2 linked regions of the Caenorhabditis elegans genome follow. The protein of the gene in region 1 purifies or fractionates together with the protein of each later gene. This does not show direct contact. Each region holds a gene or a part of one and is shown in the gene's direction. Other genes may lie near its edges.

The links. The genes of interacting proteins can lie anywhere in the genome.
Region 2: the proteins of smcl-1 (region 1) and dpy-27 purify together in Caenorhabditis elegans (affinity purification with mass spectrometry; one study listed by BioGRID). This does not show direct contact.

Annotation. Positions count from the first base shown.
Region 1 is NC_003284.9:11,691,671-11,696,599, forward strand, and holds smcl-1 (Structural maintenance of chromosomes-like protein 1), read left to right. Parts: upstream 1-1,793; 5' UTR 1,794-1,795; coding exon 1,796-1,993; intron 1,994-2,037; coding exon 2,038-2,526; intron 2,527-2,581; exon of another isoform or gene 2,582-2,607; coding exon 2,608-2,845; intron 2,846-2,893; coding exon 2,894-2,952; intron 2,953-2,985; exon of another isoform or gene 2,986-3,000; coding exon 3,001-3,204; intron 3,205-3,292; coding exon 3,293-3,613; intron 3,614-3,817; coding exon 3,818-3,922; 3' UTR 3,923-4,083; downstream 4,084-4,929. Other genes in the region: C44C10.5 (DUF4456 domain-containing protein), read left to right, coding at 1-185, 239-297, 342-542, 640-786.
Region 2 is NC_003281.10:3,813,368-3,821,479, reverse strand, and holds dpy-27 (Chromosome condensation protein dpy-27), read left to right. Parts: upstream 1-1,800; 5' UTR 1,801-1,802; coding exon 1,803-2,228; intron 2,229-2,277; coding exon 2,278-2,379; intron 2,380-2,461; coding exon 2,462-2,820; intron 2,821-3,004; coding exon 3,005-3,760; intron 3,761-3,823; coding exon 3,824-4,061; intron 4,062-4,267; coding exon 4,268-4,476; intron 4,477-4,524; coding exon 4,525-4,975; intron 4,976-5,106; coding exon 5,107-5,544; intron 5,545-5,863; coding exon 5,864-6,141; intron 6,142-6,208; coding exon 6,209-6,557; intron 6,558-6,661; coding exon 6,662-7,202; intron 7,203-7,308; coding exon 7,309-7,571; 3' UTR 7,572-7,836; downstream 7,837-8,112. UniProt on the Caenorhabditis elegans protein: Central component of the condensin I-like dosage compensation complex that associates specifically with hermaphrodite X chromosomes to reduce their gene transcription throughout development.

The DNA of each region.
Region 1 (4,929 bases):
TCCCGCAATGTTCAAGGTTCAAGGCTGTTCAAGGCTGGATGGTGACAGTTTATCCCAAGAGAACGCAGAAAAACCGGCTATTGTCATCGAACTAGAAAATCGACTCGTCCAACAACGTGCACAACGTCGAAAAATCATTGCAAATGTCACTTTACAGGATCTTGATATTCCTGCCAAAGAAGCAGGTATGTGACTCTGAATACAGTTTCAAATAGCATGGATTTACTTCAATATTTAGGTACGTTTTCCTACGACGTCAAACCGGATTATTCCTCCTTACCAGATGAGTTGAAGAAGGTAAGAAAATTTGCCGCCATTTGAAGAAAATTATTCAATTTCAGGAAAGCAACGATGCTGAAACAGTTAAGATGCATCTGCGTACTTTGGAGGAAACGATCCAGGCAACTCGTAACGAATGGGTTGCTGTCAATGGAGCAGAGTATCCGGATATGAGTAATATTTTAATAAGATTCCACGAGACGGACAGCTTTATTAACATAGCAAAGTTACGCACAACTGAGCTAGAAGCCGAAATTGAACAGGTTTATTTAATGTTTTTTTCTGTTTAAATTTTTATGAATTTCTCTGTACCTGTGTATAGAATTACCTTGGTTTTTTGAAGACATTGTTTCATTTCAGGTCAAAGCCAGTCGCCGTACTCATTTCAATCAACGCCTTGCTGCAGTATCATCGTCTGTGAGCAGAATCTATAGAGAGATTTCTGAGGATCCGGATTCCACCGTTTCACTTGCGTCATCCAATGAGGATGAACCGTATGAATGTTGATCTGTTTGTCGGAGGAATAAATGAAGATCTCGAGCCAACTCGCTTCCACCGCGGCGGATCAAGAGGAATCGTTGCTAATCTGGCTCTTGTTCTTGCACTTCACGAGCAAACGGCTTATTTGAAAAATGTGCAAACGCCTTCACCACTCCTCGTGGTTGATGACATTGACAAAAGAATGTCGGAAACGACAAGCAATAAGGTTGGTCAAAAAACAGAAGCTACGGCTCATCTAAAGATAAATTCACTGTTTAATTAAACAAATTTCAGGTCTGTTCGTATCTCACCGGCCAGGACAATACTCAATACATTGTAACCACCCACAACGACAGTTACTTCACTAAACACACCACAACTTTCAGCATGCCAGATATCTAATGTCTTTTTTTACGTGTATCTATTACAATGTTGATACATTTACAAAATATAAAGCCTGACGAAAATTCCTTCACGAACATTCCCGACCATACTCGTCTTTCTTAAATCCGAAGTCCCAAGCTATTTCAATGTGATTAGTATAATAAAGGCAGTTTACCACACTTTCGTTCTTTTTTAATATTCATAATAATAATACTTTTTTGTTATTGTTTGCTAGATAATACTAAAGACTATAGATATAAATATTGTCGGTTCAATTCCATTTCTGAGACGGAGAGCATGAAGTACATTTTCTGATTTAAATACATACTCGGCAAATCATTTCTTTCCCGTTCAACTGCTTTTTACACGATTTTGGCCATTTCTACAACAGTGTCGATAGTTTTTGTTTTGCAGATAGACGCAGAGAAAACCAGCACCCATACGAATGCAGGGTTTCTCCCTCGCTGCACTTGTGGCCGTGGCCTAAGAATACAAGACGTGCTCATCATTGTCTGCTATTTTTTTTGAATTAACTATTTGCGTTTGTTTTTTTTTGTCTTTTTTGTCTTCAATTTTCTTGTTTTAAAAATGTTATTTATCACAATTTGATGTTGATTCTGACCGCTTTTTTTAAATTTGTTTAATTGCAGACATGACGTACCCGCAGCAACGACTACTAACAGTTGACATTCTAAATTTCAAATGTTACCAACACCACAAAAGCTTCGGGCCATTTGACCATGTGACAACTTTTATTGGAATGAATGGGTGTGGAAAATCGATTATGATAGAAGCTATTGCCTTTGTATTTGGCGAAGACTTACCTGATCCCAAAAATCCGCACAACGAGGTTAGCATAACATTATGAAAATCGAGAAAAAAATTATTTTACAGCACCTATTCTATGACTACAACATTCGATGCGTCGTGAGTTTGAAGTTCGAAATGCCAGATGGATCAACGAAAAGATTTACGAGAATTGGACTGAAAACTACATACACCTACATGATCTTCAATAAATACGTCACAGAAGAAGAATATTTATTGGAACTTGGAAAAATGAATTTCAGATTTGCTGGTCAAAATATATCTGTCTACAACAAAACAACACTAAAAGTCACCCGCAAAAGTGCAGAAGAACTTGGAGCATTTTTCGACATAGTTTCCAACTCCATTGAGTTCAAACCAGAATACGATGAGCTAAAAGCGAAATTGAATTTTGCGGAGAGTACTGTTCTCCGGTGGGCAAAAATGATTGATAGCATTGAACTAGAAAAAGAAAAGTTTATCACCTTGACGCTTTACAAGCTGTATTTATGTGATAAAGAAATCCAGGAAACCAAGGAGAAGTTTGTCGCAGAGCAGTTAAAAGTGAACGCAAAGGTTTGTTTTTTGTTAATTTATAAAGTAGAAGTGTACAAATAAAATTGTGAAAAAAACCTTCAATGCTTTTATTTTTTCCAGAATGCAAAGATGCCATTAAGAATTTCAAGATACTCAGAAGCAATTCCGAAACAAACTCCATCACCAAACTTTAAAAACAATGCGATTGTTGTCCGACCAAAGACTCACAATCATTACGACAATTTGATTACGGTGGACAAGCTGAACAGTTATTTGAATGAAAAAGTGACAGAACGTCGGGAGCTTCTTCAATTTGCTGTGAATCATCCAAACATGAACATTCGGTTTTCTGAAGAAGGTGAACATGTTTGTTATTAACTATTTTTTATTTATCTATCGTTTTCAGGCCCAAATATCTATGCAAGAGAAATTGACTACACTGAATTGCCAGAGTACTATAAGAAGGTTTGTAATGCATTGAAATTTAAAATATATTACCCAATGAGTTTGCAGGAAAGTGACGATATTATAGCTACTAGCTATAAACGCTCTATGCTTGAAAAAGAAATCAAAAAAATTCGTCAATGTTGGTTGGACGAGAATAATATCAAGGATGACGCAAATATCGATAACATAAACATGAGAATCAAGGAAGCAACTACGAAACATACATTGGCTCTGAACATTGAATCAGAGGCACGTTTAAATTGGGAAAAAGTGAGTGTAAAAATCTACAAGACCATATCAAAACTTTAAGTGGCATGGCTACTGAAGTACAATACCACATTATTTTGTAAATTTTCAGCTGAGAGTCATGCGAAGTGCACGTTTCAACAACTTTATGGCACCTTTACAAACGTCACTGAGCAGAATTTACGCTGAAATCGCGCAGGACGAGGATTCTCTCGCTTTTCTTAGACCATTGGACGAGGAAGAGCCCTACTTGGCAATTGACGCATTTGTGAAGGAACGCCACAGTGAGCACATTTCAACTCGAACGTTTCACGGTGGGTCCAGAATGATTGTTGATTTGGCTCTCATTTTTGCTATCCATGAGTGGAAACCTTCGCCACTTGTTGTCATCGACGATATCGACAGGAATTTGTACCATGAAGCAAGTAAAAAGGTTAGTACATATCTCGTTCAATCATTTATCAATATACATCTGAATGCAAAAAAAAACAACTGTATTTCGTTCAGTGCAATGTATTCTCAAAGTTTTGTCAAGCTGAAAAAATAAACGGAAACTTGAGACTGATTTTTAAAAAGTTGTGTCGTCGGCTGTAACAGTTTCTTATCAAATTGCCTAAAGTTAACGTGGTGCTTTCAGATTGAGCCATACCTCTCACGTCAGAAGCAAACCCAATTCATTGTGACAACAAAAGAGGACAGTTACTTTACAGAAGTCACCAAAACGATCACTCTCGAAAACTAATGTATAATTTGTATTTTGAAACATTTTGTTACTGGTTTTGTTACTGGTATGTCTCACACGATCTTCAATTTTTCTTCATTTATTTCTTGCGCATTCTCAAAGTTGTTTCTTGTAAAATTGTTCAAAGCATATACACCTCGAAAATAAATTTCAGACTTTTATTTATTTTTTTATTGAACGGTAAATACAAAACTACACTGTAATTTTTTGAATACAGTCAGGTTACAATCAAGAAATTACAGCTTTTTGATACAAAACATTTTGAATCAGTATAACTACACTTCAGTAGAAAGTATAGTAACAAAAACAATTAATATAATATTTGATTTAAATATATTAAAGATTTAAACAACAACTGTAAAGTGACGTGTAAATTACTCAGTGTAATCTTCAATGTTATGCGCAAGAACTGATCTACCAATATTTGAACATTATTTTGTTTTGCACATTTCGTTGTTAATTTTTTGTATAAATTGTACATTAAAATAGTTCCTAACAAATATACTTTTAAATATTGCATAAAAATGTAATTTGTGGGATAATATATTTCTGACTGCGAATCTGAGAAAATTGCAAATTCGTTTTCGTTTTTGATTGGGAGGTTGATACAAAAGCAATAATCAGTCAATAGCATCAGTAAGTCTGTTCCGGGAAGTACATCAAGTGTTAATTTTTTCTGGAAAACTTCACAAAGTTTACAGAGAATTTATGGCAGCCCTGGACAATCATGGAAAAAAGCAGGAAATCGAAAGGAACCTCTAAGAATTGTTACATTTAACCCTACCGTATTTTTTTAATTTTAGCCTTAAACGGAGAAATAATTCTCTTGCAGAAGTGAAAACTATCTACCGACTACTGGTGACAGCACAGAACTAGAAGCAGACATTGATTCAATCTTGAAATTCAATTCAACATATCGATTCTCTTCATTTTACTCCAATTTTATAACAATTTGCACACATGTTATGGTGGAAAATAGGAAAACTTAAAGGAACTGCAAAATGCTT
Region 2 (8,112 bases), on another chromosome or scaffold:
GTCGGAATTGAAAATTTCGTTTTACATCCAAATCCGTTTTACATCAAATTATACCCCTGTTTCTTCTTCTACAGTTCCCCTCCATTTTTTCGATTGCAGACTTTCTAGAAGTTTACATGGTTTGTGACTCTGTAATATGCTCATCTGAACCGTATGTTGGCAGATGTTCTTGCTCACAAGACCATCCGTTGTTTGATCTCTCATTTCCCACCATTAGAAGACCCGTTGTTGGCTGCAACATCAAAAACGAAATCCTCAATTACACGCAACTAACTGCTCAAATTATAAGCTTATCTATCATCTCAACAGAGGAGATCAGCTCATATTCTTCTCTCACACACCTCTTCTACCCATCACAAGATGGAGTCGTGCCAGCCCGTACCAGTGTGCTTGTTACCTAGGCGACCTGAGAAGTACAAAATAATCATCCGTCTCTTGTTTCTCACACCTTGTTAAAACTAGTCAGTTTTATACTTTTGTCTTCTGACTTCAATTCTCTTCTATTCTCTTCTTCATTAAGGATGCCCGGATCAACTGGTGCAATGGATTTGACGGAGCAAGACACGGGTAATCGCAGACAGTAATGCCTATCAGGACTTTAACTACTTGTTCTATTATAGACGAAGTTCAATAGAGATCGTACAGACACATAAATTGACAAAATTTTTGGCTCATTTCCTTCATGCTTCCATCTGGATTCACATACATATCTAATATAAAATTTCAAGTTTCACTCATCGTGTTAAACTACTTCTTATCAATAAAATCTAGTGATTTTTTTTCAATATTATACATATAAAAACCTCTCGGTTTTTTGGGGACCTCTTCAGCTGAAAACTCGTATACTTTTCCCAAAGCGTGATCGTTGATCGACTATCTGTAGCATATCGATTTGTACATCTAGTAATGGGAAACGTTTGCCAAATTTTCAAATAATTAGAATCTTTATCTCTCCAGCTCCTTAGTCTGGTACACCCAACCTTCTTCGCAACAATATTCCGCTCATCACCCACCCACCCATTGCTATGGATTCTCTCCGTCTCTTATTCCACTATTCTTTCTCTCACCCGAATCGTCTTGACCGCAGTCGGAGTCTGTCATTTCTCTCAGTCTCCACGTTCTCCATGCTCTTTTCCACTTTCACCTTCGTTCTCTTTCGTCGTCTGCCTCTAACCCCACACTCGGTCAGCAGTAGTAACAGCTCGCACACACAGACACAGACATACGCTTGCGCGCGCGCAATGAAATGGGTGTGTGCTCGTGTGTGACCGTTTCTTAACTTTTTTTTTGAATTTGACAAATAAATTAATTAGCGCAGCTTTCATAATCTTAAATCTTAAAAAAATTAACAAACTTATATATAGTTTCCAATGTTATCTGTGCCCTGATTTTCCTAAAGTCCGGAAAAAAAATTCGTTTGAATTATCGATTTGAATTTTTCCCCAACATTAAAAATTTAGTTTTCAATATTTGAGGTGAAATCATACTGATAACTATATAATATACTATAACATTAATAAATTTCTAGATGACTTTTTTCAATGTTATCAATTTGTAAACTGTGTGATTCAATTTTAAATATGAAATATATATTTCAAAATTTTTTGATTAGGTAATGTTGGCAATTGGCATTCAAAGAAATTTTGTCAGTTGATAATTACCAAAAAAATTTGATTGGAAGGGGTCGAAAGTTTGCCAGTTGTCAAAACATTTCCAAAGCTTTGCCTTTTTGGCAAAATTATGCACCTCTTACTCTCCCTCTCCCTTTTAATATTTATCAAAATTAATTCCTTTTTTCAGGTATGCAGCCGTTTAAAAGACGGGCGCTAACCTCGGACGATGATAGACCATATGCTGACACCGACTCGATGCCTGAAGTCGATCTCGACGTGGATCGCCGACGACAGTACATGGAACAGCTCAACATATTCGATGATGTTAGTTCAGGCGCGTATATGTTGGAACTTGAAGCGGCTGAAAACGGTGTGAAATATGATGAAAAAGAGGATCTTTTGAATGTTCAAATTCCCCCAAAATATGAAGATCAGATCTCGGATCCGGATGGAAATCGAATGATAATTCTGAATATCTACGTTGAGAACTTTAAAAGTTATGCTGGAAAACATATTCTCGGACCGTTTCACAAGAACTTGACAATGATCCTGGGACCAAATGGAAGTGGAAAGTCAAACGTTATTGATGCATTGCTATTCGTGTTTGGATTTAAAGTGAGTTTTTTAAATTGAAATTTTTATTCCACAATATACATTGTTTCAGGCTGGAAAAATTCGTACCAAGAAGCTATCAGCATTGATCAATTCAGGAGGGAACTACGAATCATGTTCAGTAACAATTATGTTCCAGATGGTGAAGGATATGGTAAGTAGGTTATTAAAGCGGGCCTGAGATCCACACGATTGAAAACAAACTAATAACTATCAATATCAAAATTAATTTTCAGCCTGTCGAAAATTACGATAAATATGAAGTGTTAACAGATAATTGCGTCTGCATCACCCGCACAATAAATCGTGAAAACAATTCAAAATATCGTATTGATGACAAAGATGCATCGCAAAAAGACGTCCAGGAGCTTCTCCTACGTGCTGGAATTGATATGACCCATAATCGATTCCTGATTCTGCAAGGAGAAGTTGAAGCGATTGCACTAATGAAGCCAACATCCAAAAATCCGAATGAAGAAGGAATGCTTGAATATATTGAGGATATTGTTGGAACCAATCGTTTTGTCGCACCAATTTCCAAACTAATGCATCGGGTTTCTCTATTGGAGCACAAAAGTTCACAATATGGAGCCTCGTAAGTTCATTTTAATATTATTAAATACCACAAATTTTGGCACGGATGTACCACATAAAAATATAAAGCATGGAAATTCAAATTGAACTAGGAAAAAACAAAAAAACTTTGCGGTTTCAACTTGAAATATATTAATTTTCTGAAACTTAAAAAAATTTCAAATTAAAATTCTTTCCATTTCCAGTGTTCGCCGCCACGAGGGACACCTAAAAGTCTTTGAAAAGGCAATGGTTATCGGGATGGCCTACCTGAATACCTTCAATAATCTCAACTACCTTCGTGGAATCCGTGTCAAGCACAATTTGTGCCGTTATGCTGAAACAATGAGGGACGCCAAAATGAGTCTTGTCACTCGAACAGGAGAACTCGAAGAGAACAAGGATATCATGCTTGAGGCAAAGGATGAAGTTCGGAAGAAGGAGACTCACGAGAGAAGCCTTAATAGTATTGTCACTGAGCTGGAGAATAAAAGAATCGATTGGCAATCGAAGAAGAATGACTGGCATGCACGTGATGCTAAGAGAAAGCAGGGGCTCAAGTCGTGTACTCAGGACCTTGGGAAGCTCATGAAGGAGCGGGATGAAGCTCGTCGGGAGAAGTTTGAAATTGAGACGGCTCCAGAGAATGCGAGAATCTCTAAGCAAAACATGCAACTCGAATGGGATCAGCTCAAGGAGCAGGAGAATGTGTGTCAGCGGACAGCTACAGAGAATCTCATCAAGTATGATCAGAAGTCTAGTGCCGACAGAGCGAAGCATGATGATCTGGAGAAAAAACTCTCAGATGAGCTTCTGCAATCGATGCGAGCAAAAGCAGAATTGGACGTTTCTGAATCAGAACTTAAGGATATGACGATAATGATGGAGCAGGGACAGAAGAGAGTTGATGAGCTTAAAGGGACATTGCAAACAATGATGGCTGAGAACATTAGAGATAATACGTAAGTTTTATTTTATTTTATTTTATTTTAACCAGCTTTTAAAAATTCCCCATATCCTTCCAGTGAGCTAAACGCCGTCACAACTGAGCTGCAAGATAGAAAGCTGAAGTTTGACAAAGCTGTCGAGAAGCTTCCGCATTTGAAGTCTACCGAACAACTTTTGAGAAGCAAGAAGTATGAGCTGGATCAAGAAGTGATTGAAGCATCGAACACCCAGGAAGTTACGTACCGTCATCAGGCAACCGCAAAGCTTCATGAACTGAAAGAGGCTGGATTATTTCCGGGCTTCAAAGGTCGCTTGGTAAGTTATTCGATTGGGAGTGAGTACCTGCTTTGAAATTTGATTAGCTGTGAGCATCCTGGGGTAATCTGATGTTCCATGTAAGTATGATTTTTCTGGGAGAAATACATTTTAAATAGGATCTTTCAAATTCAGAAGCCACACGTTTAGTCTGATTTCGAATTGATTTTTTTTCGAGGACCAATTTAAAATTAATTGTCTTACAGGGAGATTTGGCAAGTATCCCAATCAAGTTCGACACCGCAATTTCAACAGTGTTCTTTGCACAATTGGATTACCACGTTGTGCAAACTAGCGATGAATGTAGAATCGGAATTGGCTTCTGCCACGAGTACAAACTTCCTCGTACGACGTTTGTCTTCTTGGATCACTTGAAAGATACTGATACTAGCGGAATGGATTCTACAATGAAATTGTTGGTAGTTGCCTTTAGTTGCCAAATCTAATTAATTCTTATTTTCAGCCCAGCCGAACGACTTTTCGATAAGATTCACTGTGTAAACCCTGAGATTCGCCGCGAATTCTATTTCTTGATCCATGACATTCTGGTTGTTGACAGTCTTGAAGAAGCAACTCGAATTGATAAGAAGTATCCTGGAAGGCATCGTTATTGCACACTGAATGGCTCAATTTTGAACCGAAGTGGAGCATTGACTGGTGGTGGAAAACCGACGACTGGTCGTATTCGAAATGATAATAATCCAAACATGAGTGGAGTCAAAAAAGTTGATTTGAGCAAGCTAAGAGCCGCACAGGAGAAGCACAATCACGCACTGGAAGCTCATTTGAAGTTGCAGTTAAAGCAAGAAGAGATCCGAGCCGACAATGGTCCGATTATCAAACAGCTCGAGATTCGTAAGCGTGAATTGATTATGTCCACCAAGGAGCAGAAAACACGGATTGCCGAGTTAAAGGTGATTTATTTTTGCGTCTCTTACTGAAACACAGAAATTTTCGCTGTTCCGATTTTCTTGAAAATGGATATATCGAAAAAAAAACTAGATTTTATTCAAAATTTCCATTCTAATTTTTTAATTATTTCCAGAGCTCAATCGCAGCACATGAGCGCCGTATGGTTAACTATAGAGAAGTGACCGTTGAGGATTTGGACGAGAAGAGAGCTCAAATTGCAGATCTGAAACGTCAAGTGGAGGAGAGCCAAAAGTCTTCAGCAAAAATCAAGCAGCAAATTGAGCAATACAAACGGAAAATGGACCGAATGTTTATGGAGTTGGTCCAAAAAAATAAGGACTCAATTGAGCAGGCGAAGGATCGAATGGGACAGCTGGAGCAGGACATTGCACGACAAACTGCAATTATTGAGAACAATCCATCACATTTGGAGCAGGCCGAGAAGAAGCTTAGTGAGCTGGAGCATATGTGTCTGGAGAAACGTAGCGAGGCAGATGCATTGGCTCAATTGGAAGTTGGAGAGGATGTAAAGGGAATTGATATTATCAATGCGCAATTGCAAACTTCAACGGTATGTTTAATTTCTATAGGACTAGGATTCTGGTTAGGCTTATGTTTAGGCTTCGACTTCAGTTCAAGCTTAGGTCCAGGCTTAGGTTCTGGCTTGAGCTCCAACTTAGGCTTTTTTTAGGCTTAGGCTTTAGCTTGGTGTTTCCAACCTTGCTCCCTTAGTTCTAGTAAACATTTTCGATTTTTTTTCAAAATTTTAAACCACTATTCAAACAATTTTTGCGCTTTTTTAAGCAGTCTCCTTATGAAGTTCGCCATTTTCGAGCTATTCAGAATTTACCAATTCAAGCTTTACTATTTTCTAATTTTTAATCTTCCAGGCCAGCATTGATGCACAAAGAGCCAGGTACACTGAAGCGGTTGCGGCACGCCGAGAAGCAGATGCAGCCTATCAAACCACAGTTGACAACTACAACATGGTCAAACAGACTTATGATGAACTGATGAGAATCATTGATGACTTGGAAAACAAGACAATGGCGGATAATGCAGAACTTGATATTATTGAATCTGCATGGATGCAACCGGAAAAGCTCTATCCACCTGGCAAATTTGTCAGATATAATGATCCAGATATTGCGGCCAAAATGACTGATGGGTACGTTTCAGAAGCTTTGGGAGATTTTCCATGTGCAAATTCAAATTTATAATCACTGAGTTTTTAGGCACGTTGTACTCCCATATGAATGCATCAGTATGATCGAACCTCACCGTGAAGCTTACGAAGAGCACGAAGCGAGAATGCTTGAGGACGATGTTTTCGAGGACACTGCTAACAAGATTTGCAAGCTGGAAAAAGATGTTGACAAGTTCCGGCGGGAATTTGATAATAAAGGTGTTCGGGATTATGCGATGATTGTGTCGCTTCTCATGAACGAGGTGACGTCAGCGAAGAAGTTTAGCGATAAGCTGAAGGCTCATCGTGAGAAGCTCAACGAGTTGAGAATGGCGAGATTCAACGAGTTCAGCGAGGCGCTCGCATTCTTGGGTACTACTACCCAAATGCTTTACCAGGTGAGTAAGGGGTACTTGCCTGCTACCAGGCTGACAGGAAGCATTTTTTCTGTCAGACCCATTGCTTTAAATGAGATTAAAAGAAACAAGTTATTTGCTTACAGCTTATCACCAATGGCGGAGATGCTAGTTTGAAGTTTGTGGAAGAAGGAAAATCTACCGATCCCTTCGATGGTGGAATAAAGTTCAGTGTACGTCCCGCCAAGAAATCCTGGAAGCTCATCGAGAATCTATCTGGCGGAGAGAAGACTCTGGCCTCTTTATGCTTTGTCTTTGCAATGCACCACTACCGTCCAACACCCCTCTACGTGATGGATGAAATCGATGCGGCACTGGACTTGAACAATGTCAGCCTGATTGCAAACTATATCAAGCATTCCGAGCGAACACGGAACGCTCAATTTATCATAATTTCGCTTCGAAATCAAATGTTCGAGGTCGGAAATCGCTTGCTTGGTATCTATAAAATCGATGGAAAAACTTATAACATTATGGTGGATCCGATCGCGGTGGAGATCAAGAATCGTCCGATTTTGAAGATTTTCGAGGAGGAGATCAAACGGCGCGAGAAGCTACGACGTGCCGAGATTGAACCGGAAATTGATTTGAGTAATGGGCTCAGCAATGTCGTTATTGCACCAAAACGTAAGTAATAATTAGTGACATATCAACTGCACTTTAATTGTAAAATACCAAATCAAAGTAGCAACCAGTCCAACTTAAACCCATCTCAACAAATACCAATTTTCAGGTAAACAACGCCGGCTGGAAATGCTGAAACTCTCGGACTTTGGTCTCGATGATGACAGTGATCTTCCTGAATTTAATAGATTCCCACCCGCAACTCGTCGTGAATTAAGTGTTGAGGATTCAGATGAAGACGATGAGCCAGTAAGAAGACGTCCGCGTCGTCAAGTTGAAGAGGAAGATGAAGAGGATGAATTGATCGAAGAAGCAACTCCATCTCCACCACCAATTGTCGTTCAACGCCGTGTGCGAAGAAGCAGACATTAAATTGAAGTAATATATTTTAAACTAAATTTTGAAAAAAAAAAGAAAACTTTGTGAAAAATCCAAAAAATGAGACCAACTTTCTTTCAAGCTTGTATTTTTTAATATTCGTCTAGCTTAATTTTTCCTTGTGATTTTAATTATTTCCCTTTTTAATATATTTCCATTTTGTTGTATATTTTGTGAAACCCCTATATCTTTGCATCACGTACTGTCCAATCTATCTCATTTTCTTAATTCGCTGACAAGGTAAATTTTCGATTCACGATTCACAAAAATAATTATTTCATTTTTATTTTAGAACTACATTGCAAAGTTTTTCCTAAAAAAAATAATGCCATCAAAAAATAATTTCCTAACAAAGAAAATTTCCTAAAATTTCGAAAGCTGCTAAAAATTTGACTAAAAATTTTGGACAATCTGTTAAAAAACAGGATCTTTTATTTTGATATATACATAGTTATTTTAATCCTTTTTGGTAGACCTTAACAAATTTTTTGAAAATATTGTTAGTTGGGAAATTTGTTAAAACCACTCAAATGTT